Danio rerio: one gene and its partners. The protein of the gene in region 2 interacts with the protein of the main gene of each other region in a pairwise test. Links are inferred from orthologs where the notes say so. Each region holds a gene or a part of one and is shown on either strand. Other genes may lie near its edges. The genes, in order: lzts2a, atpaf2 and lrrfip2.

What was found.
Region 1: the proteins of atpaf2 (region 2) and lzts2a interact in binary tests that used the Homo sapiens proteins (3 or more experiments, as listed by UniProt). The two-hybrid records come from large-scale screens. The link is inferred for Danio rerio from reciprocal best matches to the Homo sapiens genes ATPAF2 and LZTS2.
Region 3: the proteins of atpaf2 (region 2) and lrrfip2 interact in binary tests that used the Homo sapiens proteins (3 or more experiments, as listed by UniProt). The two-hybrid records come from large-scale screens. The link is inferred for Danio rerio from reciprocal best matches to the Homo sapiens genes ATPAF2 and LRRFIP2.

What each region holds. Positions count from the first base shown.
Region 1 is NC_133188.1:20,792,918-20,801,629, forward strand, and holds the start of lzts2a (leucine zipper putative tumor suppressor 2a), read right to left. Parts: upstream 4,790-8,712; 5' UTR 4,628-4,789; intron 1-4,627. UniProt on the Homo sapiens protein: Negative regulator of katanin-mediated microtubule severing and release from the centrosome. Required for central spindle formation and the completion of cytokinesis.
Region 2 is NC_133187.1:20,033,289-20,042,000, forward strand, and holds atpaf2 (ATP synthase mitochondrial F1 complex assembly factor 2), read right to left. Parts: upstream 4,300-8,712; 5' UTR 4,056-4,299; coding exon 3,920-4,055; intron 3,840-3,919; coding exon 3,795-3,839; intron 3,684-3,794; coding exon 3,535-3,683; intron 1,594-3,534; coding exon 1,496-1,593; intron 1,407-1,495; coding exon 1,326-1,406; intron 1,231-1,325; coding exon 1,118-1,230; intron 1,028-1,117; coding exon 912-1,027; intron 831-911; coding exon 693-830; 3' UTR 411-692; downstream 1-410. UniProt on the Homo sapiens protein: Plays a role in the assembly of the F1 component of the mitochondrial ATP synthase (ATPase).
Region 3 is NC_133188.1:46,211,044-46,219,655, forward strand, and holds part of lrrfip2 (leucine-rich repeat flightless-interacting protein 2), read right to left. Parts: intron 7,724-8,612; coding exon 7,589-7,723; intron 6,859-7,588; coding exon 6,787-6,858; intron 3,183-6,786; coding exon 3,012-3,182; intron 1,107-3,011; coding exon 1,014-1,106; intron 705-1,013; coding exon of another isoform or gene 612-704; intron 1-611. UniProt on the Homo sapiens protein: May function as activator of the canonical Wnt signaling pathway, in association with DVL3, upstream of CTNNB1/beta-catenin.

The DNA of each region.
Region 1 (8,712 bases), on a different chromosome or scaffold from region 2:
CGATGGGTGTTTAGAGGTCAAACTTTAAAGATTCTGGAGACACAAAAGACGTATCTTAAATTTTGAAAAAGGGGTAAAATGGGTGCTCTTTAAAGCCTGGTTTATACTTCTGGATCAAGTAATTGGCATGACCCACGGCTCATGCCGTATACTTCTGTGTTGCTCTGCGATAACACTTCCGAAATGCTAGCTGGCAGCAGGTGTTTATGTTCCTCTGTGTTGTTTTTCTTCGCTATTGTTTTGTTTTTTCTGAACGCTATCCTTTTGTGAAAGTAGATTTGATTAGGTTCAACTTTATTGTCATTACACATATACAAGTACAAGGCAACAAATGCAGAAGTGCAAACTCGCTCATTTTGAGGCGGGAACCGGCAGACATGCCATAACTTAAATCATAAAGTAAACACAAAACAAAACTTTACATCTGGAGCTCCTTCACTGACTCGACACTTGTAAACACTCACTCCAACAGGTTCGCGTTGCTCTTGATCCCACCCACTGTCATCAGCGTTACCAATCAGATCAATCACAGAGCTTGCGCTATGTATTGTTGCAATGTGTTGTTACATTTTTTAAAAAGTGCGCGTCAGCGACGGCCACGGCGAGGGCTACAGAGGGCTACCGCTTGACGCAGAAGTATAAATCAGCCTTAAGCCAGATACATAGATGGGTCGGCAGGTCAAACATTCTATCTGAATTTGATGATTGATTTCAACTACTGAGAACCACAAATTACAATTCTTAACTAATAATTTGAATGATATATTTCTTAAAGGACAAAATGAGTAACGTAGAACATTAACTGTGTTTTGCAAAGCTGGTTACTCACTTTAAAAAGACCATGTATATGTTTTTAAGTGCAGCCTCTGTAAATTCTTCCAGCTAAAGTAGCTCTTTACTAGCTTTGGCCATTGATCTTCTCAAAATGGCTTCTTCGCCTCCTGTCGATGCTTTCTGAACCAAGCATCAGCATAAAGAGGCAAATAAATAATCTTGCGGTGTTTCTGACAAGCCATAATCATCAGTCTCATGATCAAACTGAAATCACAGTGCAGATATGCACTGCAGTCGGGGGAAAAAAAGTGGCACAACGCACATACTGCTAAATTAATTCCACACCAGCGCTTACATAACCAGCGGCCTCAGACAAACTATGCCAGCATGAATATGTAATTCATCACAAAATTGCAGAGATGGTGAACCACGCAGGAGCCACAAACAGAAAAAAGACAACCTTGAAGCTGCTCGTGAAAACTTGCAAACATGCCACAGGGGGACCAGCCACAAGAGGATGTGGACATATAGAGACACCATCCCGACAGATTCCAGCCGAGCTCAGACAGGGAGCAAAAAGAGTGGCATGGAAAGCTGTGATTCAGTGCAGTTAGCAGAGACTGACTCGACGTTAATGAGCTCTCCCTCTGTATATACGTCTGCAGGAAGCTACAGTCTTACATAAACACTTGGCGTATAAAGGCTTCTCATAAATGGAAACAGTAAAAATGATAGAACGAGGTGTTTTAGAGACCTTAAACCTGTGAGACAAGGCTAGCCGGCGGGGCACGTAGTGTCCTTACGAAGACAGTGCGCTGACCACATTTACTAACGCTGTATTTCAGAGCCCTCTAACATATGAGAGTGATTTAACTCATCTATTATTTTCCGACTCACTGACGCAAGCACCTTTCCACCCCCCTAGGTGATCTCATCCGGAGCAGAGTCTGGACGCTGCTGACACGCAGTAACAGGCCACTCTATTTCAGGCTTTTACTGTATAAGAATGTGCCATGAGCTGAGTCACATCCACTTTAAACACAAACGGGAATCTTAATATACTTGGGTGGTGGGGGGATGGGGGGGTTCATTCAAAACTTCATCCCATTCGAAAACAAAATGTCAATAGATCAGGTATCATGCTGTGCAAGAAGCTTAGTGGTGTTTGACTAGTTTGAAGAAGCTTTATGTAAGCACTGAGCGAAGAGTGATTGGAGTGTGTATGTGTGTATTCTGGACACCGGACGTTCCAATCTGGGCCAGTTTTTGAGAAGTCATGTTACTTTTTAATTTATGGTCACAAAAAAGCAAAAATATACTAAATATTTGCAATAAACATAAAGTCGCCTAATAGAGAGTTTCACAGTGATCCCATAGAAGAAATATTTTTAGTCCAAAGATCTAAAAAGTAGATCAAAAAGACAATTCATTGGCATTGATGCTTCCATTAAACATTGTTTACATCGTCAACATAAGGTTCTTTTTAGCGGAAATGGTTTTTAACAGTACAGTAAAGGCATTTCACACACACATAAATGATTCCTTTTGGAACTCTTTACTGAAAAGTTGTTTTCAGTAATTTTGTATATGGGAGACGTTCCCATGTACAGAAGTTTGCATCAGCTGGTAAAGACCTTCAACCCACCTAGGTAGGTGTGGCTTTAACACTACTCTGAATTTAATTTCCTCTGTTTAATCCATCATTGTCAGACAAACACAAGTAAAATCAAGCACTAAAGAGCAGTTTTATAGTGGATACTAGGGCTGGGCGATAAAATTGATATCGATATTTATTGACGGAACCACCATTGTCAATATCGATAAAAAAACGATTTAGAATTATTTAGTTCCGGTATAAAGCACTATAGTTTTATTAAAAGTGGCTGATGAACGTGTGCCTTGGAAACAGTGCCAATAAGTTTAGGGTGAAAGTTTGTCATTTCCAATGAAGTCGCGCGACTTGAGCGACGCGCCCATGTTGTGCAGGTGGTGCACACATACACATGTGAACCGTGCACATTTTTGAGCCGCATCTACAGTAGTTAAAAACATTTGAACTTTTCTGAATGCTGAGAGCACACCGCCATTCATGCTAGTAGAATTAACCAATCTGCCTCACACTTTGTATGGAATATACACATTTCAGTAATAACGGCAGACTAATTACCTCAGACAAACACAGCGCAGCCAAACACTGCAGTGCTTTTTACTTTTCTCCATAAACTTGTTGCAGCAATGGTTTTTCTGCAACCATTCCAGATTCCAATTGGAACCAATTCCAGAAACCATGCGCGTGCACTTGTTACTTAAGGTTAGAATAACAACACATGCGAAAATGAGTGCCATATAGCAGCATTGAGGAGATTATAAACAATAAAAGATGTAAAGATGTCGCCAGAGTGGCTTTTTGGTTTCTTTTCTTGTGCATCCTAGCCACTAGCTCCCCATCTGAGACATGTTTTAGCGTAGGGGTAATGTAGCCATTTAAGTATTTAACAATTTGTATTGTTATAATATGTATTTAAATAATTTGAGTTTTACTGCATCATTATTATTGACATCTTACAGATGTTGTTCTACCTTTATCATTGCACACACTTTGTAGCATTTTATTCATCAAGTTTAGGAGTCTCTTTAACACTTATTTATTTTATTATAAAGAGATCAGAAATTTTGTTTAAATATTTTTGTTTTTGACTATTGAACATATTTGCCTTAGTAATGTTGGCAAATTAAAATAAAATGGTTTAAAAAAAAATCTAATATTCCTAAATGTATTTTGTAAGATAATTGTCAATATCAGATGATATGAAACATGATATTGTGATAATATGTTTTGCAATATCACCCAGCTCTAGTAGATACTGATGTTCTGAAAGTTACTGTAGATACTGAAAATATTAATGAGCAACACTGACACCTTTTCTCTATATAAACTTTGCTGTGATTGACTGGGGACACTTTCACATCAGTATTATCAGATGATTTCTGTACATTTGTTTGAATAATTTCAACAAATTTTAGGAAAGAGGAAAAATAGCGCCAAGCTATTTTGAATTTAAAGTTCTATTTTTTTTACTCCTAAAAGAATTGTAAAAAATGTTTTAGTATATATGAACCTGAAGTGTAGTTTCAAAACATTGAATTTCCACAAAATGGTCTCCACAAAACAAAACCAAACCGCTTAGTTGACTCCTGTAAATCAATCCACTCGCAAGGCCCTGCTTTCAAACAAACAAACCAGCCACAAAAACTTAACAAGCTCAACAAACACTCTTTACAGCAGATATAAATACCTATAGGTGACAAAAAACACAAAAGACGTCTCATTTATGTCTTCTAGAGGACAGTGATGTTAAAATGAGAGTAAACTGAGACTTTTGTTTACGCCTCATGCTGCTTATATGGTTTTCCTGTGGGAATCTCACATGTCTCTCTCTGGAGAACCAGAAAAGAGCACAATATTTGACAAGATACCAACGTTTGTAACAGTCTTACTGTCTTAATTTTGTCTTCATTACTTCAAACATTTTAAAGGAGACATCTGGTGACAAACTTAAATGAAGCACAACAGAGTTCACTATTGTATCTTTGTATCTCTGATAAATCAAAACAAAAGCCCAACTTACTCAGCCCCCAAAATAACACAGTATCATTAACATTCTCGCACAGCAGAAAGCACTAACAGTGCTGCTAAAACTTCAAAGAGCGTCTTCTCACCCCAAACCCTATCAGCTTTAAGAAAGTTAATCATTCATTTCACATCACTTCAAAGCTCCCGTGAGCTGCAGTGGTAATCTGAACTCTCGTGCATTCGCAGGCTGCAATAAATCCAGTGGTGTTGCTGACATACCCATAGTGCTCTGCATGGCTGCCTCCTCGCGTCTCCCCAGCCTGTCCTGGAGGTACAATCCCAGTCAGTTCACTGTACTTCTGCTGCTTCTCCTCTCTGTATCACTTTGCTTCTCTCCTACATGCTCATTCTCCGTGCTCCTCCTCCTCATGCCAAAGTTTGCTCTCTTTTCTCTGGCAGAAACCCCCTTCCTCTGTGTCCCGTCCTCTGCTGTTTGCCGCCAGCACCGCCCCCTTCTCCTGCTACCCTCCTCCCATTCGCACTTTGTCTGTGGCCCCTTCCTCCTCCACCACCCCCATCCTCACACACATTTAATCCCTCCTCATACTTGCTCCCTTTTTTCCCCTTGTCTTTCTTCTACCTTTTGCTGTTCTTCATCTCTGACCACGACAGTGTCTGTGGAAAATGGACGACTGCTGTGCAGTTTTTAAGTCTGACATTCAGTGGCTACTTTAAACTTACTGGGCAGGCTGTATCATATTTGATAAGAAGATTTGAAGGGTTCTAAATTGTCAGTGTAATCAAAACTTTGTTGGATAACTCTAGTGTACAATTGACTATATGCCTTCTGTTGTCTTCTTGACAGTTGTGTAATAAGTTTAAGGTCCTTTAGAGTCATTTCTGAAAATTTCCCTTATCAGGACAGGTTGTGGTTTATTTGTCTTTATGTCACATCTTTAAATGATGGTATGGTATGGTATTAGAGGAGTAGCCTTGGATTGGATAATTAGTTATTTAAAAAATAGGCAACAGTTTGTGGAAATTGGCAACCATAAATCATCATATTTAAATGCAAAGTGTGGCATACCACAAAGATCAGTTTTAGGTCCAATATTGTTTATAATTTACATTAATAATATGTGTAAGATTTCAGAGTTGTTTAAGCTTATTTTATTTGCAGATGATACAAGTATCATTTTGTTCTGGGCATAATTTACCAAAATTTATGGAGTTGATTAAAACAAATTAATAAATTGAAATTGTGGTTTGACGTAAACAAATTGTCATTAAATATAAGTAAAACAAAAGGTTTTGTTATCTGGGAAATTAAAAAGTAGACATAATATAGATTTCCAAATTGATAATAAAGTATTTAAGTATAGAGATTATGCAATTATGTTTGTTGGTTTTATATTGGATCATAAAATTAGTTGCGGAAACCGCAAATAAATAATGTAATATCAAAAATAGTAAAAACTGTAGCAATAGTGTAAAAAGCAAGATTTATACTGGACAATATATCAATGTATATATTATATAACACACTTATGTTGCCATATATGAGCTATTGTGTGGAAATTTGGGGGAATACATATACCCCAATATATATATATATATATATATATATATATATATATATATATATATATATATATATATATATTCCCCAATATAATATATATTTACTTACAATCCTTATGTACAATGCAGAAAAAAGTAATTAGACTGATAGAAAATGTGGGGTATTTGGAGCATACAAATCCTTTATTTTTTTAAATTGAAAATACTTAAGTTCAATGATTTGGTTGAATTTAAAACAGCACAATTAATGTTTAAAGCTGGGAATAAAATACTTCCTAAATGCATACAAAAGTTTTTTGAAGAAAGACAAGGGGGATATAATCTGAGAGAAAAACATAATAGGAGGTTGAAAACAAGGACAACTTTAAAAAGTTTGTGTATGTCTGTTTGTGGTGTGAAATTATGCAACATTCTGGAACAGATTTTCAAACAATGTCAGGATATTACTCAATTTTAAAATTTGTATAATTATACATCATTAAAGGAATATAATGATGAAGGTGATTGAAAAAGGATCAAATGAGAAAGGTATGATGAAATTTAAATTAATGGCTATTTGCAGTACTATGTATTTTTTGGGGGTCTATGTTATAAAAAGTAAATGTACAAATAGAATCAAACATACAATATGTCAAAGATGCCAAAAGGATTAAATGTGTCTCATGTAAAAATAAGAGATAAGTAAAAGAAGAAATAAGTTTAAGTGATGAATGACATGTGTGGTAATGGAGTGGGAAAATAATAAGCTTGTGCTTCATCTTGCTCCATTTTTGACCATGTTGAAATGTATTTTCGAAAATGAATAAATCAATTCAAATCAAATCAAAATGAAATACCTTGAAAATTATTGTTGCCAGAGTTTGAGATGAACACTCTAAGGTATAGATCCTTTGAGTTAAACACAAAATAACATATTATGAAGAAGGCTGGAAACCTGTAACAATTGATTTCTATGGTAGGAAAAACTATGGACATCAATGGTTACAGGTTTCCTGCTTTCTTCAAAATATCTTATTTTTTTAAAGAAAAAAGAAACTCAAATACATTTTGAACAAGTGAAAGATGAGTAAATTTTGGATGAACTATCACTTTAAGCCCAGAAATACTTATATTATGTCAAATTAGGAACATTAATGCAACAGTTAATTTTTTACAATGTTTGACACAAGTGCTGTGCGATTATTTGAAATGTTTAAAATGTTACAATTGGCTAATCGCAAGAGGCTGCGATATGAAATACATACGTATCATTTCATTTCTCCCGCCTACAGCAAATGCGTGACTGCCGTCTGTGTGTGACAGTCTTACTAGCCAATTTAGTGAGCTTACTTTCATTCTGCCCAATAAGAATTGCACAACGGAACTATGTGGAACGCCCACAATAAAAAAACAAACAGGTAAGTGCAGGCGAGTAGGATGATGACATCTGCTGCTTCAGAAGCATGAATAGACAAATTAATATCAAAGAAAAACAGGACATCGGTAATATGGGAATATTTTGACACTGAAAGAGTGGAAATTTGTAGGAGCTGCCCTTGACAATACAACAACTAGCTGATAAAAAAGCTCCACAGGCGACTATGAGGAGTTTCTTTTTCAAAAGTCAATTGAAGGTATCGCTAGTGATTCTCAATCTAGTAGCAAACAACAGCAAAGTTTAAGCCATGTTAAATGTTCTGTATTTTTATAATTATTATATTTCTGTTTGTATAATAAGCTAGACTATCTTCCTAATTTGAGTTAAAATTGTTTAGAGAAAGGTAAGGTCATTTTATTTGTGTTTAATGTTTGCTCTAGAGAAAAAATGTGTGTTTTATTTCTGAATATTTACAAATAAATTTGAATAAATGTTTAGGTATGTTTTTATTTTTTCAGTTTCTTTAGCGGTAAGAAGCTAAAATGCAGATTATTGTAGGTTATTAAGTTATTATTACTTATTGTCATTATGGGGTATTGTGTGCAGAATTTTGAGGAAATAAATGAATTTAATCCATTTTGGAATAAGGCTGTAACAAAAAATGTGGAAAAAGTGAAGCGCTATTAATACTTTCCGGATGCACTGTATAATCAGACCAAAACACAGGCAGCAAAAATGGGGGATTAATCATTTTAACATTTGTGGATAAATGTGCTAGCTACATCAAACCTTAGTAAGTCATGCTGCATGATTTATTTAAATACTCGGCTGTAAATTTTGCATCTGCAAGAGAAAGTCCTACAAATACATAAGCCAAAAGGTCAGCTGTAAGAATCAATGTGTTCAAGCATTTCCATTAGATTTTATACCACAGGATGGGTTAAATGAATGTGCACATCATTTTTTAAAGGGGTGGTCCATAGCATATTTTTAAGGTTTGGTTGTGTTTATAAGATGTAAAGCAATGTGTGCTCATGCTTTATTTGTAGAAAATCACATAATTTTTTCATATATCTTACTTTGATTATATACTGCTACTCAGGTAACATGAAAACAGCTGTCATATTTCCTAGTTTCTGCGAAAGGCCCGCTCTCAAGAGGCTCTGATTGGTCAGCTAACATAATGTGCTGTGATTGGCGAATCGGCTCCGGGTCACCACGTCATGCCTTTACAATCACGCGCGTTAGCGCTCTGTAAACAGTGAAGCTGTTAGCTGCCTGAATCAGACAGAAAATAAAGAGCACACACCTAAGCACACCTCACGCTCAAACCTCATGCTCTCTAAAATATAATTTGACAAGTGTCTTTCATATATATTCAAATTAAGCAAATGTAAGTAATATGAAACGTTTACATATCTTTTGG
Region 2 (8,712 bases):
ATGTTTTACAGATTAATTGAGGTTTATTTGAGATTATTTGTTCATTCAGGTTTTTAAATTGCTTTAACTATAGTAAATCACAGACACCAGAACTAGCCTGACAGCACAGGCCCTGTCTTGACTAACTACACATTCTTCAATACAGAATTGTGAAATAAACTATGACATGTTTGGCTGCAATTGATTTATGTTATTTTTTATGTGACAGACAACTTTACTAGTGCTCAGCAATTGGCCATTTTCGGAAATGTTAAATGAGGCACAATTTTTATCTTTTTTTTTTATTGGAAAACTAGAAATGGAGCAGAAATCTAGTACTATCTCAGGAATAAAAAGAAATGCCTGGTCACTCTATTTTTGGGAGGACTATTTCATTTTGTAACTGTGTAGGAAAAAAGTCGTAGACACAATTAGATGTTTGTACTTTGTAATTTATTAAAATGTTTCTTTCTTTTCCCCAACATACAGCTTAAACATTTACATCTTTGAAATTGAGTTTGAAATACTGGGTTTTAGCATTTACAGTGTTTCCATGTGATAGCTGTTGACACTATAAATACATATCATGACCTTAGAAATCTGTATTATTTCTCAAAACATAACTACTGGTTAGATAACTAGTGTCACTGTAAAAACAAAAACAGATAACAATTCCCAAAGTTTCAGACCCACACAGTCTATTTTTGGCATTATCAGTCTTGTAAGATTTTTTTCTTCACAGATGTTTTTTCAGATGACAGATGCACAAACAATGCACCAGCCGCCGTTCGCGCTCGCAGCTCATACATGTCATAATCATGGACCCACTCCACATTTCCCCAGCTCCGAATCTAAGACAGAACACAATGTATAGTAATTATTACCACAGGAACAATATGGTCTCAATCTTAAAAGTAATTTAATCAAAATACCTGGTATTCTTCCTCAAGTCTGGACAACAGAACCGCTTCTTCCACATTTAGGTGTCTGTCAATCAGCGCAAAGGACAAAACCAGCGACTTCAGCTGATTGATCACAAACTCAAGCCCTGAGGAAAAATCAAGCACATTCACATAAGATTTACACAAAGTCTATTGTAAACAAGCTCATTTACATGAGATACAAAGAACCAACGTACCTGTCAGAGACCAGAAGTTGAAGGAATTAAGGTGCTGATGAAATGTCTCTTTAGTCTCTTCTGGGATTTGAGGGCCCATTATATTGGAGGACGAGCCAATGACTACATTGTACCTAAAAACAACAGTACGTTCTTATATACCAGTAAATTGTAACTTTTTGTAATTATTACACAATCAAAACTCTGACCAAAAATCTGTCAATTTTACCTTTGTTCAATCCAGTTCATCACAGGGTCCCATTCATTTGTCTGAAGTTCCACAAGGCCTGGAGGTTCTTCTACTCTGTAACTGCAAAGCGAGGTACAATTGATGTAATGAAACCTTAAAACCATCAGCTGATGCATAAATGAAATACTATACCTAATCAGTGAGCATACCAGATAGTGTCTGTTTCTAAAAACTTCAGAGCGGCAGAGATCATCTGTTCTTTTGTCCTTTGTGTTGGATTATCAAGAGCAGTGTTACAAAGGGTGGTCTGTAGGGACAGAAATCAGTCTATTAGATTCTGCTATTCATTTAACATTATGAATGTTGGGAATACTGGGAATGAATGTACTATCAGAATATACACACACTGATTTTATATGTACTTGTGACAATGTTTTAGATACATTATCCATTAGTATTTAATAATAAATATCTTTATTTAACCAGGTAAATCAATTAAGAGAACCAATTCTCATCTAAAATGACAACCAGGTGAAGAAAAAAGACACATGCAAATAATAACATATAAAAAATAGATAAATAAATAAAAAAAACTAGGAGCAAATGCAAATATCTTTAACTACATAAAAGGTCAGTTCACCCCAAAATGAAAATTATGTTATTAATAGGGTGGAACCGATTTGGAATTTTTGACCGACAACAATAACCGATAACTATTTAGAATGGGGTATATGCACACAATCTTTTAATTTCAGCCTAACAGGGCCTCCGTCTTTCCATTATAAAGTTGCCATGTTTGAGGTCAGTTTTTTTGTTTGTTTTTTAATCAGTGACCTTCACTGCCTGATAGATATAGATATATGAGTCTCAGACAAAAAGCACTGCGTTAAATTCTATTCCCCCGTCATATCTTTAAAATATAACAATTAATTTCACCCCAGTATAGGAGTTTCTGCGCTCGCCTGCTGATCCTGATGGCGCTAGCGGTTACACAATCTTTCATCTTGTTTTATGGTTGAACAACTAAATGAATGCTTGTATCTATTTAACTGAATGTTTTGTCATCAATGCATCGATAGTGTAAAACATCGATGCTGTAAAAGGAACCTTATGAAAATGAAAAGTCACATTAAGCTTTTTCAAAATGAAATGTGCATCTTGGCGTTTTCATCAACCGGTTTTCTATGCGCATATTGCAAAATTACCATAAAAATAGGTGGATGGAAACATAGATGAATGAATAGGAAAAGACACAATATGCAGACATTTTTTGCAATTTCTGCAGAGATTGATTTTAGGAGTATCATAACTACAGCATTAATATATTAAATAAAAAACAACACATTTTTTAATTTTATTTAATGTTTACAGTGCAAATCCAATTGCATCCACCTATTTGGTAAAGAAAGCAATACATCATATACCTACAAAAAGACAGAAAATATTACATTACTAACTGTATTGTTAATAAATCATATGAACATTTTAATAGTACTATTATTATAACACAATAATATTAGTGAAATTAATAAAAAAAAAAAAACTAAATAAATATAAATTCACACACAATTAAACAAGTGAATACAGTAAATACACCGAATGATGGGCTAAAGATCTGCGGAAATCTGCAGATTTCTGTACACGCATATTCCGTGTGGGCCTACTAATGAGGTGATAAACCGCTGAATGAAGTAAGTATTTTTTCTTTAAGTGTGCACAAAAGTACATTGCTGTCTATATGAAGGGTGAGTGAGCTCTCAGATTCCATCTAAAATATCTTAATCTGTGTTCCAAAGATGAAAGAAAGTCCCAGAGTATTGTTGTTGACCAAATTATAATTTTTGGCTGAACTACCCCTTTAACTGAATAGAATTTTTAAATGATTAAAATAGAATTTAAAAAAAAACTAAGCTTTCAGTTTTATTTATACCTAAAATCTGTACTTTTTAGGGGGTTCTTGAATGGAATCGTCTGCAGCAGAAAATTAAAAAGAAAAAACACCAAAAAAGTACAGATTTTGGGTATAAATAAAGGTACTAGTCTTGTAGACTTGTAATACTGTAAGTTTCAGTTCTGAAGAGTGTATAAAAATATGTGTTCCATGCTACTATGTATGTATTATAGATACATTTGAATGTACTCTGTAGACAGTTGTAGAATAAAACTTTCAAATATACTAGTAGTACTTGGGAAACCAAAATATAGTATAATAATAATAATATAATATAAATTAAAAATAATATCCTACCAAGTGCATAGTGTAAAACTTCAATGTGTCCTTTTGAACGTCCCACTCATTTGCAACAGCAATGGCAAGAGCTTCATTGGGAACTGTGAATAGTTTTCCACTTGGGGTCTTCAGCTTTCTCTTATCAAGGTTTATTTCAAACAAGCCACCTATAAACAAGAAAATCTGTGTTTTCATATGAGCAAACCCTCGATCTTCATCATTGAAAACATGTTTCTTTTAAGGTGCTGTTATGGCCATCAGTACTGAATGATGCTCACCTTCACCTTGAGTTATAGATACAGTCTCGTAGAACTTTTTCCTCTCTGCAAAACACAATGCAAGTACAAAGATATTAATATATTTGTTTATCATTTTAAGTTATTTTTTTCTTTTTATATCTTACCTGCTGTAGCACTGCTATATTTTGCCTTTTGTAGCTGTGTTGATAAACTGGGAACATGCTTCACGTAAGAAAATGAAAACGGCCAAATAATTGCCTGGCCAAACTTTGTGTGATACCGACATATATTTCGTAGCATATTTTAAACGTTATGTGTGTAAATTTGTATTTGTATTGATGCCACAGTTTAGGCGTGATAAGCCATTCAGTCAAGGTTAAAAAGCCGGATATGGTGTTATATTAAATTTGACAATGCATTTTTCATGTTTTAATCGTATAAATTACAAGAAATGAGTATATCTGAGATAAACTCAATTATTCAAGCAAATACACTAGAAGGTATTTAAAGGCATGCAGCAAAGTGAAAACAGCGTGCCGTAAAGTGGACTGACGATGACCTAAACAGGAAAAAGCATAGAGGATAATTCATAATAAAAGTCCATAGCTATATAAATATCTATGAGAAAAGTCCAACATTTCGAACATTCATTTAGCGCCAAACTTTCAGAATGGGTTACCAGGGACAAAAGAGAGTGATATACCTATTAAAATATTTTGATTTTAATAATTAAAAATAGCAATTGAATAATTAAAAAGATTAAAATAATTCTATATAGTTTTTAAATAATAAGCACACATTATAATACAAAATAAAAGAGAAACAGAAACAAATTGATAAAACAGCATAATAATTAAACGATTATTAAATATTTAATAGCATACAATACATTATTATATTTTATTTAAATAAAATAAAACAATAAATTATATATCAAAATAAAATAAAACAAATAAGAATATAATAATAAAAAATTTCAGTTTTCAAAACATTAACTTCAGGTAACTTCCTTAATTTTTTTTAACAAAAATGTTTATGTTTTAATGTGGGGGCAATGATATTAAAATGTTTGTGGCATCTAAAAGTTGGGCGGGAAAGTCCTGCTCTAAATATTAAAAATTAACATAGCTTTAAATAACTTAAAATATTTGTTAAAAATGTTATTCTTAAATACATTTTTTGGAATATTTAAATGAATATATTAGTGAATATTTATATGTTGCTACTATAAACTGGTTTATTCACCTTTCTTTTGCTTCAGTTTTATTATCTCTATCTTATATGTTTTTTTCTTTCTTTCTTTCATTAATTTGTTGGTTTGTTAAAACATGGAAAAAATTACACAATTTATAGAGCAGACATTTACATTACACTTAGTTATTACCTAATTATTTATCTACTATGTACAAGACAAATGCAAAAAGAATTAAATAATATCTTGTTTTAAAATCTTCATGTTTATTATCAGTTTGTTCTGCTTATTTAATTTATTTTATATATTCTAGAGAAAGAGAGAGAAATAAATAAATCAAATAAAAAGAAAAATAATACATAAAATAAAAATCATTAATTTCAAGTATACAAAAACCCTCCAGGGACACACATGAGTTGATGGGGCAGCAGTAGGGTAATGCACCAGAACTGATCTAAGGAACAGCATAGCGCCCTCTTTTGGTTGTGTTTCTGATTTGTTTGATTGTCCTCTGTTCTTCAGCATGATAAAAACATTTCATTATCAACATTAACTAATTCCACAATGAATATATATATATATATATATATATATATATATATATATATATATATATATATATATATATATATATATTGGCCTATATATTAGTGAAATAGACTAAAGAATCTAAAAAGGATTATATTGTTCTTTTGAAATATCACAGATTTCACCAATATATGAATAAATAAGAGATATAAATTGAAACATAAGTCTATAGTTTATCTATAGAGTAGTCTATACATGTAGCCTACAACACATTACAATATACATAGACCTACTGTATGTTTAGTTCATGTGTTGTGAGTTGAAAGTTTTGTGTGGAGTTTGCATGTTCTCCTCCCCTTGTTCGCATGTTTCCTGGATGCTCCGGTTTCCCCCACAAGACCAAATTGGGAAAGGTGAATTGGGTAAGCTAAAATTGTCCCAGGTGTATGTGTGTGAATGAGTTTGTATAGATGTTTCCCATTGATTGGTTGCAGCTGGAAGGGCATCCATTGCGTGAAACATATGCTGGATAAGTTGGCGTTTCATTCAGCTGTGGCGACCCCAGATTAATAAAGGGACTAAGCCAAAAAGAAAATGAATGAATGAGGGTTTTTTGGGGGGAAATTTACTTTCTCTGTTTATTGTGCAAGAGAACACAGTAAACATCTGAAACTTGAACAAAAGTCGAATCAATTATTTTCCCAATAGTATCTGGATACAGTCTTGGATATGCCCGTTTAGACACGTAGTTTCAGACATGCAGTCTCAGACACAATGCACTCAATAGAGCTAGTGACGTCACTGTGAGGGTTATGGGTTGTGTTAGGTGTGCGCATTAAAACAATATGGTACTACACGTTAGAAACATTCATTCATTCATTTTCTTGTCTGCTTAATCCCTTTATTAATCCGGGATTGCCACAACCAACTTATCCAGCACTTTTTTGCACCAGTTGCAACCCATTTCTGGGGAACTTCCACACTCAAAAAAATGATTTGTTGGACTTACATAAAAAAAGAGTGTCAAGTGGTTCCACGTAACTGTGTTGAGTAGTTTCAACAAGTAACAATATAGTTAAATGAACTAAAGAAATCCAGGTAAAGTTTACAAAATATTTCTTAGTACATTCAACCCATTTAGATGTGTCATTATTGCATTTTAGTTTTATGTATATTTTACTTAGTAATGTTATGTTAGAATTATGAACTTTTAGTATGTAAGGTGAACACTTTATTTATATATATATATATATATATATATATATATATATATATATATATTTCACTTCTAATGTATGTGCTCTACAAGTGTAAAACTTAAATAATCAAACATATTTTTAGAAACAAAATGAATTTATTTTCTTTGCAATGTTTTGCAACATACAACTGCTAAAAACCCATAAAACAATTTCAATTTCCTTTGAAACAAACACACTAAAACATCAGATGCTTTCAGTTAACATTTACAGGGTCTTTTAAAGTGCAACTGGCTTTAAGAATCTGAAATAATCTTACTTTGAAAAATATTGTACATGGAATGTTAAAATACTGCTAAAATTCATTTCTGATCTTTACAATCAACAGTGAGAGTAACATTAAAACTGGCCTCTATTTTTGTAAACATTCTCAAACAGTTCAAATAAAAGTACAAAAAGAAAGAAAAAAATGCAAAAGCAACATTTGGTCAATAGTGAACATTCTTACAATGTGCTACTTCAAATATTGGAAGAAAAATGTATAAGAGCAAATTTACAAAAGTAATTTGACATTTTTTTCCAGTGTCACAAAATGCTACAATGCTCAATTGCTGATATTTCAAAAGGTTTAATATATTGTTAAAGTATACAACTGACCTTTATTTATGAAAACCACCACAAAACAACAGCTTGTTTAAAAAAAATAAACATAAAAAAAATTATAAAAGAAGTTTTACTATTGACCAAAATGTTCTTTCAATATGTGCAACTGCAAGTAATAAATTTTACTTTGAACAAGAAAAGGAAAGTTTAAGACAAGCAGCATAAGAATTTAAAAAAAGCAAAGAAAAGAATAAAACTGAAAATCTGAATCTTTGTAAATAATCAAACAATTATAACCATTTAAAGATGTAGAACTCCATTTAAAACTTTGGTGCCATCGTTATAGATAACTTTAAAATTGGCCCTTAATTTTAAAACTAGAAACAATTTAAGTGTCTCAAAAAAGCTTCTTCCTCTATTTCTTTCATTCGTCCAGAATGATGTACTGATTCAGCCAACAAGTTTGTTTTTGAGAACTTGTATTTTGTGTGACAGTTTATGTGCAAGTCCCAGCAACACTTTCTGAAAAACTCAAAAGTGTATTTCAGGTCTGAAGGATAACTGAGATTCACGCTGTATTTGACTCTCAAAGAAAGAGAACAAGCCTTGGTGACATCGCCAAGGTTCTGAAGCACTTTTACTCCCTCAAAAATCAGTCCAGCAAATGATGGTGGGTCACAGACTTCTAAACCTTCAGGCTTAACGATGTAGATTTTAATGACAGTATTTGCCATGTCTCTCTCAAAGTCTGTCACCTACAAAACACAAAAACAGTATCACTGTTCAGTTTAATTACATCAAAAATACAGATTGTAAATTTAAAGAATTTTGTATCAACTGTCCATTCCTTAATCTTTCACATCACGCACCTGCAGTGACTTACAAAACTACTTTACTGTGTTTGTTAGGGTGGTCAAAAGTACAGGCTTCTGTACTGAATTTTAAAAAATGTGCAGAAATCATCATTCCTTCAAAGAAATTCAATTGGCCAGTGTTATTGTGCTCAACAGATGTGACTGTGATTGGCAACACTGATAATTGCCACCTTAATCTGCCTAGACAAATATGCTTGAGAATCTGCTCGACTGTGCTCAAGATTTCCCCAGAAAAATGCTAGCATCATAACAATCTTTTATTTCAGTGCAGACTGGTGCTGAAGTCTGTTCTTTTGACAACCCCAAGGTAAATATACTTTGTGTATTGATATTCCTTGACTATATTATGTGAATTCATGTGATGGCATTTTAAATATTAACTGACTGAGAACTATACTTACTGTATACTCCTTCATGAGGTTTTAATAGTCTTCATTAAGATACACAGAAAGTGCTCTGAGAATGCAAGCTCTCCAAGTTGAGATGGCATCATTCTGTAGAAGAGACATTAGGTTTATACAATGAAAAAAACACCATACTAAAGTGGAAATTATTTACAAGCA
Region 3 (8,612 bases), on a different chromosome or scaffold from region 2:
TGCCCCCCATGACAAACTGAGGTATTGAATGAGAGTACGAATTAAGGACTGGTGAAAGAGTGTTGTTTTAATGGAATTTAATAGCGCACACCGAATGGGAGAAAAAAATAACATCCGCATTTCTTGGTGTGTGTGTGTGTGTGTGTGTGTGTGTGTGTGTGGTTGTGTGTCTGTGGTCCTTTACTAACTCGATAGGTGCAGAGAATAGTGTCAAACAGCTGTTTGTGTATGAAACATCCTGTCGCAATATGTGTCGAAAAGTCCTACATGACGGTAATAGTTTGATTGCGGTGTCTACATGTCTGTACCGCAATCCAATAATGCAACTAAAATTTGCATACTCAACATGTCTTAATTCCATTTCTATTTAGTTTGATTATGATCTTAATCAAATTAAATTAACCAAAAATCGCTGTTTACATGGCAAAATCTTAATCAGAGTATTGCCTTAAATTGCATTAAAATCGGATAATTAGTGTCCATGTAAAAATACTCACTGTTTGTAAAGAAATCAGACTGGCTTGGCAAAATTAAATGGATGACAAAGAGATGCATAAACAGTTAAAGTGTTTCCACCCTCAATCCAAACAGCATCTCATTCTCCATCCTACCCCAATCTTTTTGTCCTTCCAGTTAACAGTTTCCTGGAGGTCAAACACCTCTCTCGTGAGGGTATCTAGCTTTTGCTGAATTTTCTGGTTCTCCTGGGGTTTGCGTTTAATAAAGCAGAAGATGAAAACAAAGAGCAGAGATTTAAAAGACACAACAAAGAAGAAATAAAGGAACATACAGGGACATGTGAAGGGAGAAAACAGGAGGATCTCACTGGGCGAAAGTGAATTTTATAAAGATTATGAACTTCATCCATGAAGAATGAAACAAACAGCACTTTCAATCACAACGATGATTCTGAATCATCTTTAACTTGATTATTCAGCAAAAGCTTTTAAATCAGAGAGTCTAATGTAAATTTTTCTGGTGGGTCGATAATATAACTTCTGTTCTGGCTTTACCTCAATGAGTTCATCTCGCTGACGAATGCCCTCTTTCAGCTCCTCTTGTTTGTGCTGTAGGACTGTACATGTGTGCTTCTGTCGCTCTAACTCCTGTCGATCACAAGAACAAAAAATATTCACATCCTAATCTGGCAAAGCTTCCAACATGTATTAAATACAGTGGGGGAAATAAGTATGGAACATTTCAACATTTTTCTCAGAAAACATATTTCCAAAAGGTGCCGCTGACGTGAAATTTTCACCAGATGTTGGTTACAGCCAAAGAAATCCATATACGCAAAGAAAACAAAACTAATTAGTTTACAAATCAAGTTATGTGTAATAAAATGAAACGACGCAGGGAAAAAGTACTGAACACATAAAGAAAGGAAGGTGTAGAAAGGCAGTGAATCTCTCAATACTTCTTCAGCAACCCTCTGCCCTTCGTCATTGTAAATGAATATCATCTGCTTCAGTCCAACATCTACATTATCAGGATGATGAAGATGAAACCAGGATGAACATTTCAGCGAGACAATGATCCAAAACAGAGCCAAGAAAACTCTCATATGCTTTCAAAGAAAGAAAATCGAGCGATAGAAAGGCCCACCCAATCAACTGACTTAAATCCAATAGAAAAAGACAAAATAAAGCTCAGATTTGAGAGAAAAAGACCCACAGAACTATTAAGATTTTTACACTCTGTGGAAGTCTGTAAAAAAAAAACTCACACTTGAGTAATTCATGTGACTTCATTCACATTTTTAAACTGCCATCATCATCAAAAAAAAAAAAAGCCTTTTATATAAAGTATTAAATACATTTCAGTAGTTCAGTACTTTCTCCTTGAGTCATTTCATTATTATATACACTCATTTTTTTTTAGAATTTTTTGTTTTGTTTTATTTTTATGTTTGTATTGTTTGGGTTTTTACCAAAATCTGGTTCAATCCTGTGTCAACAGCTCCTTTAGAAATTATACCCAGGACAAAAACATGACGTGTTCAATACTTATTTCTCCCACTGTACATCAGAACTTTCATTGCATTTTTGAACAGTTGGGTCTATGCACTGTGGTAATAACAGATCATACAATCAGGGCTTTACACTAACACCCGCCAAATGCGGGTAGATTTTAGCTTTGGCGGGTTAGACAGACACCTCCACTAGCCACTTTGGTTGGTTGAAAATTCATTTTAAATAGTAGCTTTCTTAAAAGCAGGGTTCGACAATAAGGATGACCCAATATTCGTGCAAATGGGATCTTAGAATTGAGAAGCAGCATGATTGAAAACTATAATTTTGTTTGTGTGGGCAAAAGAAAGCCGGTTGAATACTGAATGAGAGGATAATCACTCGCGCCAACAGCTGATGTGCTGTTTAAAACATGTGTGCGCTCCTGTTTCCTTGCTTGAAACAACCGTGCCTGGAAATGCAACTCAACTATCGATTCTCTTTCAGATAGACTAGACAAAAAGTTATGCTCATGCACCCACAGTCCTGCTGCTTTCAAGAGCTCCTTTTTGTAAGCAGCACCAGTTGCTTTCGATTGAACTATTATTTAAACAGGATATAGGATATTAACTTCCCATATATGTGTAGTATAGTATACAGCTATATTTTGCTTATTTAAAATATGTGGCTAAGAAATAAATATTTATTTATTTTAAAAATGGTTATAGAGATAAATTTGGTAAATCCTTTGAGCTCTGAAAAGTCATGTGAAATAAAAACTATTTGTAATGTGCTCATGCTCACTGAGCAAGCTCATACACAACATACACAAAAAATAACATGAATTAGGAGGCATGTGGATATTCCACAAACTCTAAACCAAGTAATTTTAGCATGCCAAAGTCATATTTATGCATACAAATTATATTTTGCCAACAACACATTGTGGCTAGTGATAAGAAAAGTTACTGTCAAGCCCTGATCACAATTCTATATTTATTGGATTAATCGTCTCAAAACGAATAATTTTTTCATAATACTGTACACATATAACACAGGCACCTTTGATTTGTCCTCCGTTTCCCTGCGCAGTTCGGACATTTGCTCTTCCATCTCCTCAATGACATCCTTGAGCGTGTCCACTTGATATATGAGGTTTGCTTTTTCATTGTCTAACTGGGCATTGGAAACCATGGCCTTCTTGTACTTCTCCTCCACTTCTGACAGAGATTCCTGATGAAAGCAGAGGAAATATCCTTACTGTGAAAAGCACTGGAAGAGCTTAATATGCTACAAAATCACTACAAGACTCGACAGGCAAAAACAAAAACAAAACAAAACACACACTGACCACTGCATTAAAGATTAGATAAAACTGTGTAGTGCAGGTAAAAGTAAAAGTGTAATCCATCAAAAAATACAGACATTTTTAAAGTCAACATAACATACATCGACTCGGCTAATATACGTTCCTGGTCTTAGTGTGCTTTTATAAAATAAGGCTTGTCTGTGTGATTCCTTCTAAATAGGAAATAACTTGCTCCTCCTGTACAGTTCCTTTGCTCCAATCACCTGTTCTGTACATTATCGTTCAAAGGTTGAGGTTGATAAGATTCTGAAGGAGATTTCTCGAAGCTAAATTTATTTAATGAAAACCAGGGAAAAAAAGTAAATACCATTGTAGCTTGAAATAACTTCTATTAAATACAGTATATATATATAATTTTTCTTGTGATTGTTGAGCGACCTTCACTTAATTTGGTGCTCTAGCATAGTGATTTTCAAGCTTTAACAGTGACCTGTTTTTATTTTCTCTTGAACCATATATTAAATGATTTACATAAAGTCAAGGCAAGCTTATATATTCATTACATATACTGACACTTAAGGTCTAACACATGGGAGCAAGGCTAGGATGGATAAAATAAGGAGGGTTGTGTGTTGATGCCATTTTCCCCTTTAAACTATCCCCCGGTGACCATTTTTCTCAAGTCTTATGATTGATGACATGAGGATTGATAACCTGAGCTCTAGAAACATTTCTTCTTATTATACTATATTATATTATATACTATATTATACTTAATTCATGTATTAATTTTCCTTCGGCTTAGTTCCTTTATTCATCAGTGGTTGCCACAGAGGAATGAACTGCCAACTTTCTCCAGCATATGTTTTAAGCAGCGGATGCCCTTCCAGCAGCGACCCAGTACTGGGAAACATCCATTCACGCTTATTCACACTCATACACTACAGCAATTTCAGCTTATTCAGTTCACCTATAGAGCATGTCTTTGGACTACGAGGGAAACAGGAGCACCCGGAGGAAACACACACCAACACGGGGGAACATGCTATATTATACTTAACACAGCATAATATTTATATGTAGATTATGATGCTTATTAGATAGTGTCTTGGTGAATAGAGTTCTACTTTTTTCATAACGTTATAACAGTCTTTACTTTCACTTTTTGACCAATTTAATTCACTCTTGCTTCGAAAGAATTTATTTTTTGGACATAAAACACTAACATTTGCGTTCTTATTAGGGCTGCAAGATATTGGAAAAATCTAACATTGTGATTTTTTTAATTTTGTGATATATATTGCGATGTAAATGCAATTTCGCAATATGACTAAATATCTCTATTTGGAAAGAATTTATAATGTTAGATTGATTGGGATGATTCTGCAGTGGGAGTGCATCTACATAAAATCTAATTAACAATCTATAAACTTCTTTAAGTCCCCCAACACGTTTTCGTTGTGGTCTGTGCTATTTGCAGTGCATTTCTGTATTTTCATGTATATCAATCTATAAATACAGTCAAGAAAAAGATTGAAATAAAGTGTTTTATTATTTCCCGAGTCTAACAGTATAAGAGTACAGTACACTGTATGTTAAAAAATAAGAATAATTCAATAAAATAAATAGCAGTTAAGGTGACAAATGGTAGTTTCTTATACCTGAATGTTTTTTTTAAATAATTATACACTCACAGGCATCAAAACACATGCCAATGATACATTTCAACACAAAATAAACATTGCATTTCTTGCGATGTGACTATTGTGAATGATCACATTGCGATATCGATGCTGAAAAGAATGATTGTGCAGCCCTAGTTCATAACTCTTCTACGCTCTTTAACTTTTCCTTTCTTTAACTATTTTTTCTTGATTCAACTCTTTCTTTATTAAACTTTATTTATTCAACTTAATCTTTATTTATTCAACTCCTGTATTTCTTTATTCAACTCTCTTTATTTCTCGTTATTCAACTCTTTCATGATTTAACTTTCTTTCTTTTTTCAACTTTCTTTCGCTGTTCAACTCTCTTTCTTCAACTCTTCCTTTCTTTTTCCAACTACTTTCTTTATTCAACTCTCTTTACTTCCCGTTATTCAACTCTTTCTTTATTTCCCGTTATTCAACTCTCTCTTTATTCAACTCTTCCTTTTTTATTCAACTAATTCTTTATTAAAATCATTATTTCTTTATTCCACTATCTTTCTTTCTTTATTCAACTTTTCCTTTCTTCAACTAATTTATTTCTTTATTCAACTATCTTTCATTAACCCTTTCTTTGTTTAGTAAACTCTTTATTTATTCAACTAATTCTTTCTTTTTTCAACTTTTCAACTATTTCTCTTTATTTAACTCTTTCTTTCCTCAATCAAATCTTTCTTCAACTATTTCTTTCTTTATTCAACTATTTATTTCAACTCCTTTCTTTATTCAACTCTTTCTTCATTTAAATCTTTCTTTTTTAAACTATTGCTTTCTTTATTAAACTTTCTTTATTCGACTCATTCTTTTTTTATTCAACTCTTTCTTTCTTTATTCAACTTTCTTTTGTTAATGAACTCTTTCTTTCCTTTGACTATTTCTTTCTTTATTCAACTCTTTCGTTATTCAACTTTCTTTCCTTGAACTCATTCTCTTTATTCAACTATTTCTTTCTTTATTCAAATTTTTCTTTATTCAACTTTCTTTTGTTGTTTAACTCTTTCTTTCCTTAGACTATTTCTTTCTTTATTCAACTCTCTTTCGTTATCCAACTTTCTTTCTTCAACTTTTGTTCTTTATTCAAGTATTTATTCAACTCTTTCTTTCTTCATTCAACTATTTCTTTCTTTCTTAAACTTATTCTTTCTTTATTCTTCTTTTTCTTCCGTTATTTAACTCTTTTTCTCCTTAGACTATTTCTATACTTTTTCAACTCTTTCTTTCTTCATTCAACTGCTTTAATTTTTTCTTCAACTCTTTCTTTCTTTATTCAACTTTTTTTCTTTATTTAACTCTTACTTTCTTTCTTTATTCAACTTTCTTTATTCAACTGATTCTTCCTTTATCAAACTCATTCTTTTGTTATTCAACTTTCTTTATTCAACTCTTTCTTTCTTTCTTTCTTTCTTTTTCTTCCATCCTTTCTTCCATCCTTTCTTTCTTTCTTTCTTTCTTTCTTTCTTTAAGATGTCTTGTTATGTCTGTATTATTATCAAAGTGATCTCCAGCATCCCAATATAAACTGCACAAACACAAAAATTCTTTACACAGTTGCATCTGAAACGTTCTGGTCAAAATCGTGTGTCTGCATTCTCCATCTTCTTTAGGAGAGGTTGGGTGCGAGACAAAATATGTCCATGTGACTTTGGCTCTTTGGAGAAATGATCTCTTTAGGCAACACAACAGAGGGCTAAACGTGACTGTAAAGAGCTAATGTAGTAAGTGAAAGACTCATGCAAGACTCATGCAAGACTAAAGAGTGCTAAGAGCCTCGTGTGTTAGTGGAGGAAGAGGGAAGGCATGCATTGAGCTCAGGACCCTCTACCTTTAGCTCTTTAAGACCCTGCATGTATCGGCCCTCTACATCCTGAATCTGGTCCTTTAGATCATAGATGTCCTGTTGAGATGGAGGAATGAATCATGGGAAAAGTTTGGCATTCGCTAAAGGTCAGAGCGGTGACCTCTTATCATACATTTTTGAACAAACATAAAGAGGGAGAGAGAGCTGTCCGAAGGCATTCAAACACAAAGAGGAAAGAATTTAAATAAAGACAAATAAAAAAATAAATAAAAACAAACACAAATAATACTGTGAAATGAACACAAATGGATACTCTGAGATCGTATGCATTTAATAGGAAAGTTTGAAGCTCGATGTTCAGCCAAAATATATTCAAAAGGCAGGTAGATTCATCTTGTTTTAAGAACTGCATAAACAATCCATATTACAGAGAGTTTATGTTTAATCTGTAAAGCAGCAACATTAGAAAAAAGCTTTTCTTAGAGTTTGTCTTGTTTCTTGCACAAATATCTAAAGCATAAATCCTAAAATCAAAAAGAATTTTCTAGACAAGTAAAAAAAAAAAATTTTTTGTTTTCAGAAATAAGCCAAAATTATGTGAGTTTTTCCTTAAGCAAGTTAAATAATAAGCCAGTGGGGTAAGTAAAATAACAAAAAACAAGACTATTTTAACTTAATTAGACTTATAATATAGACTTATAATATAGACTTATAATATAGACTTATTGATTTAAGAAAGCTCATATATTTGCACTAGAAACAAGACAAAAACTCAAAGTAAGAAAAGCATTTTTGCAGTGAAAGTCAATAAATGTGGTGTAATTACCCTTAATTCGCTAATAGAGGCCTCTGAATCCATAATGACACTTCCAGCATCTCCACTGCCTCTTCTGGAAGAGCTGCCTCCTAATGACGCCAGAGCAGCAGCAGAGAGAGCCGGTGTAGCACATCGGGAGGACGGCTGGAGGATACAGCATGAAACAATGAATAAAAGCAGTTTAACGACCTGAAAACATAATAAATGTTAAGATGTATATACAGTCAAAATTATTTATCTTTTTTAAAATATTTTCCAAATGATGTTTAACAGAGCAAGGACATTTTCACACTATTTCCTATAACATTTTTTTTCTTGAGAGAGACTTATTTGTTTTATTTTGGCTAGAATAAAAGCTGTTTAAGATTTTTAAAATCATTTTAAGTTCAATATTATTAGCCCCTTTAAGCAATATTGTTTTAGATTGTCTACAAAACAAACCATCGTTATACAATGACTTGTTTAATTACCCTAACCTGCCTAGTTAACCTAATTAAGCCTTTAAATGTCACTTTAAGCTGAATACTAGGTTCTTGAAAAATGTTTATTAAAATATTATGTACTGTCATCATGGCAAAGATAAATAATTTATTATATATAATATTATATATTTTCAAAAAGTTAGTAGAAACTAGTTATTTAAACTATTATATTTAGAGAAGTAATAATTGTAAAGATGTATTGAAAAAATCTTTTTTTTTCCGTTAAACAATAACAAATTGAGGGAAAAAATATACATAATTCAGGGGGGCCAACAATTCTGACTTCAACTGTAAGTGTGATTCATGAGTCCAGAAAATTTTAGTACAGCTGTTTTTTGATATTCAAAGGTTCATGAACCCCCCTCTTTTAATGCAAGGCTACAACAGAATTTGTAATAGAAAAAAGCAAAGTGGAGGGGGCAAAGCAGGAGAGCGAGCAACTGTTATCTGCTAGTGATGCATATGGACTCAGACCAAAATTCAGTGGTAAAATATGAGGAAATGCAAGATTTTTAAATTTAAAAAGTTATTCATTTTTAAATTTGACACAC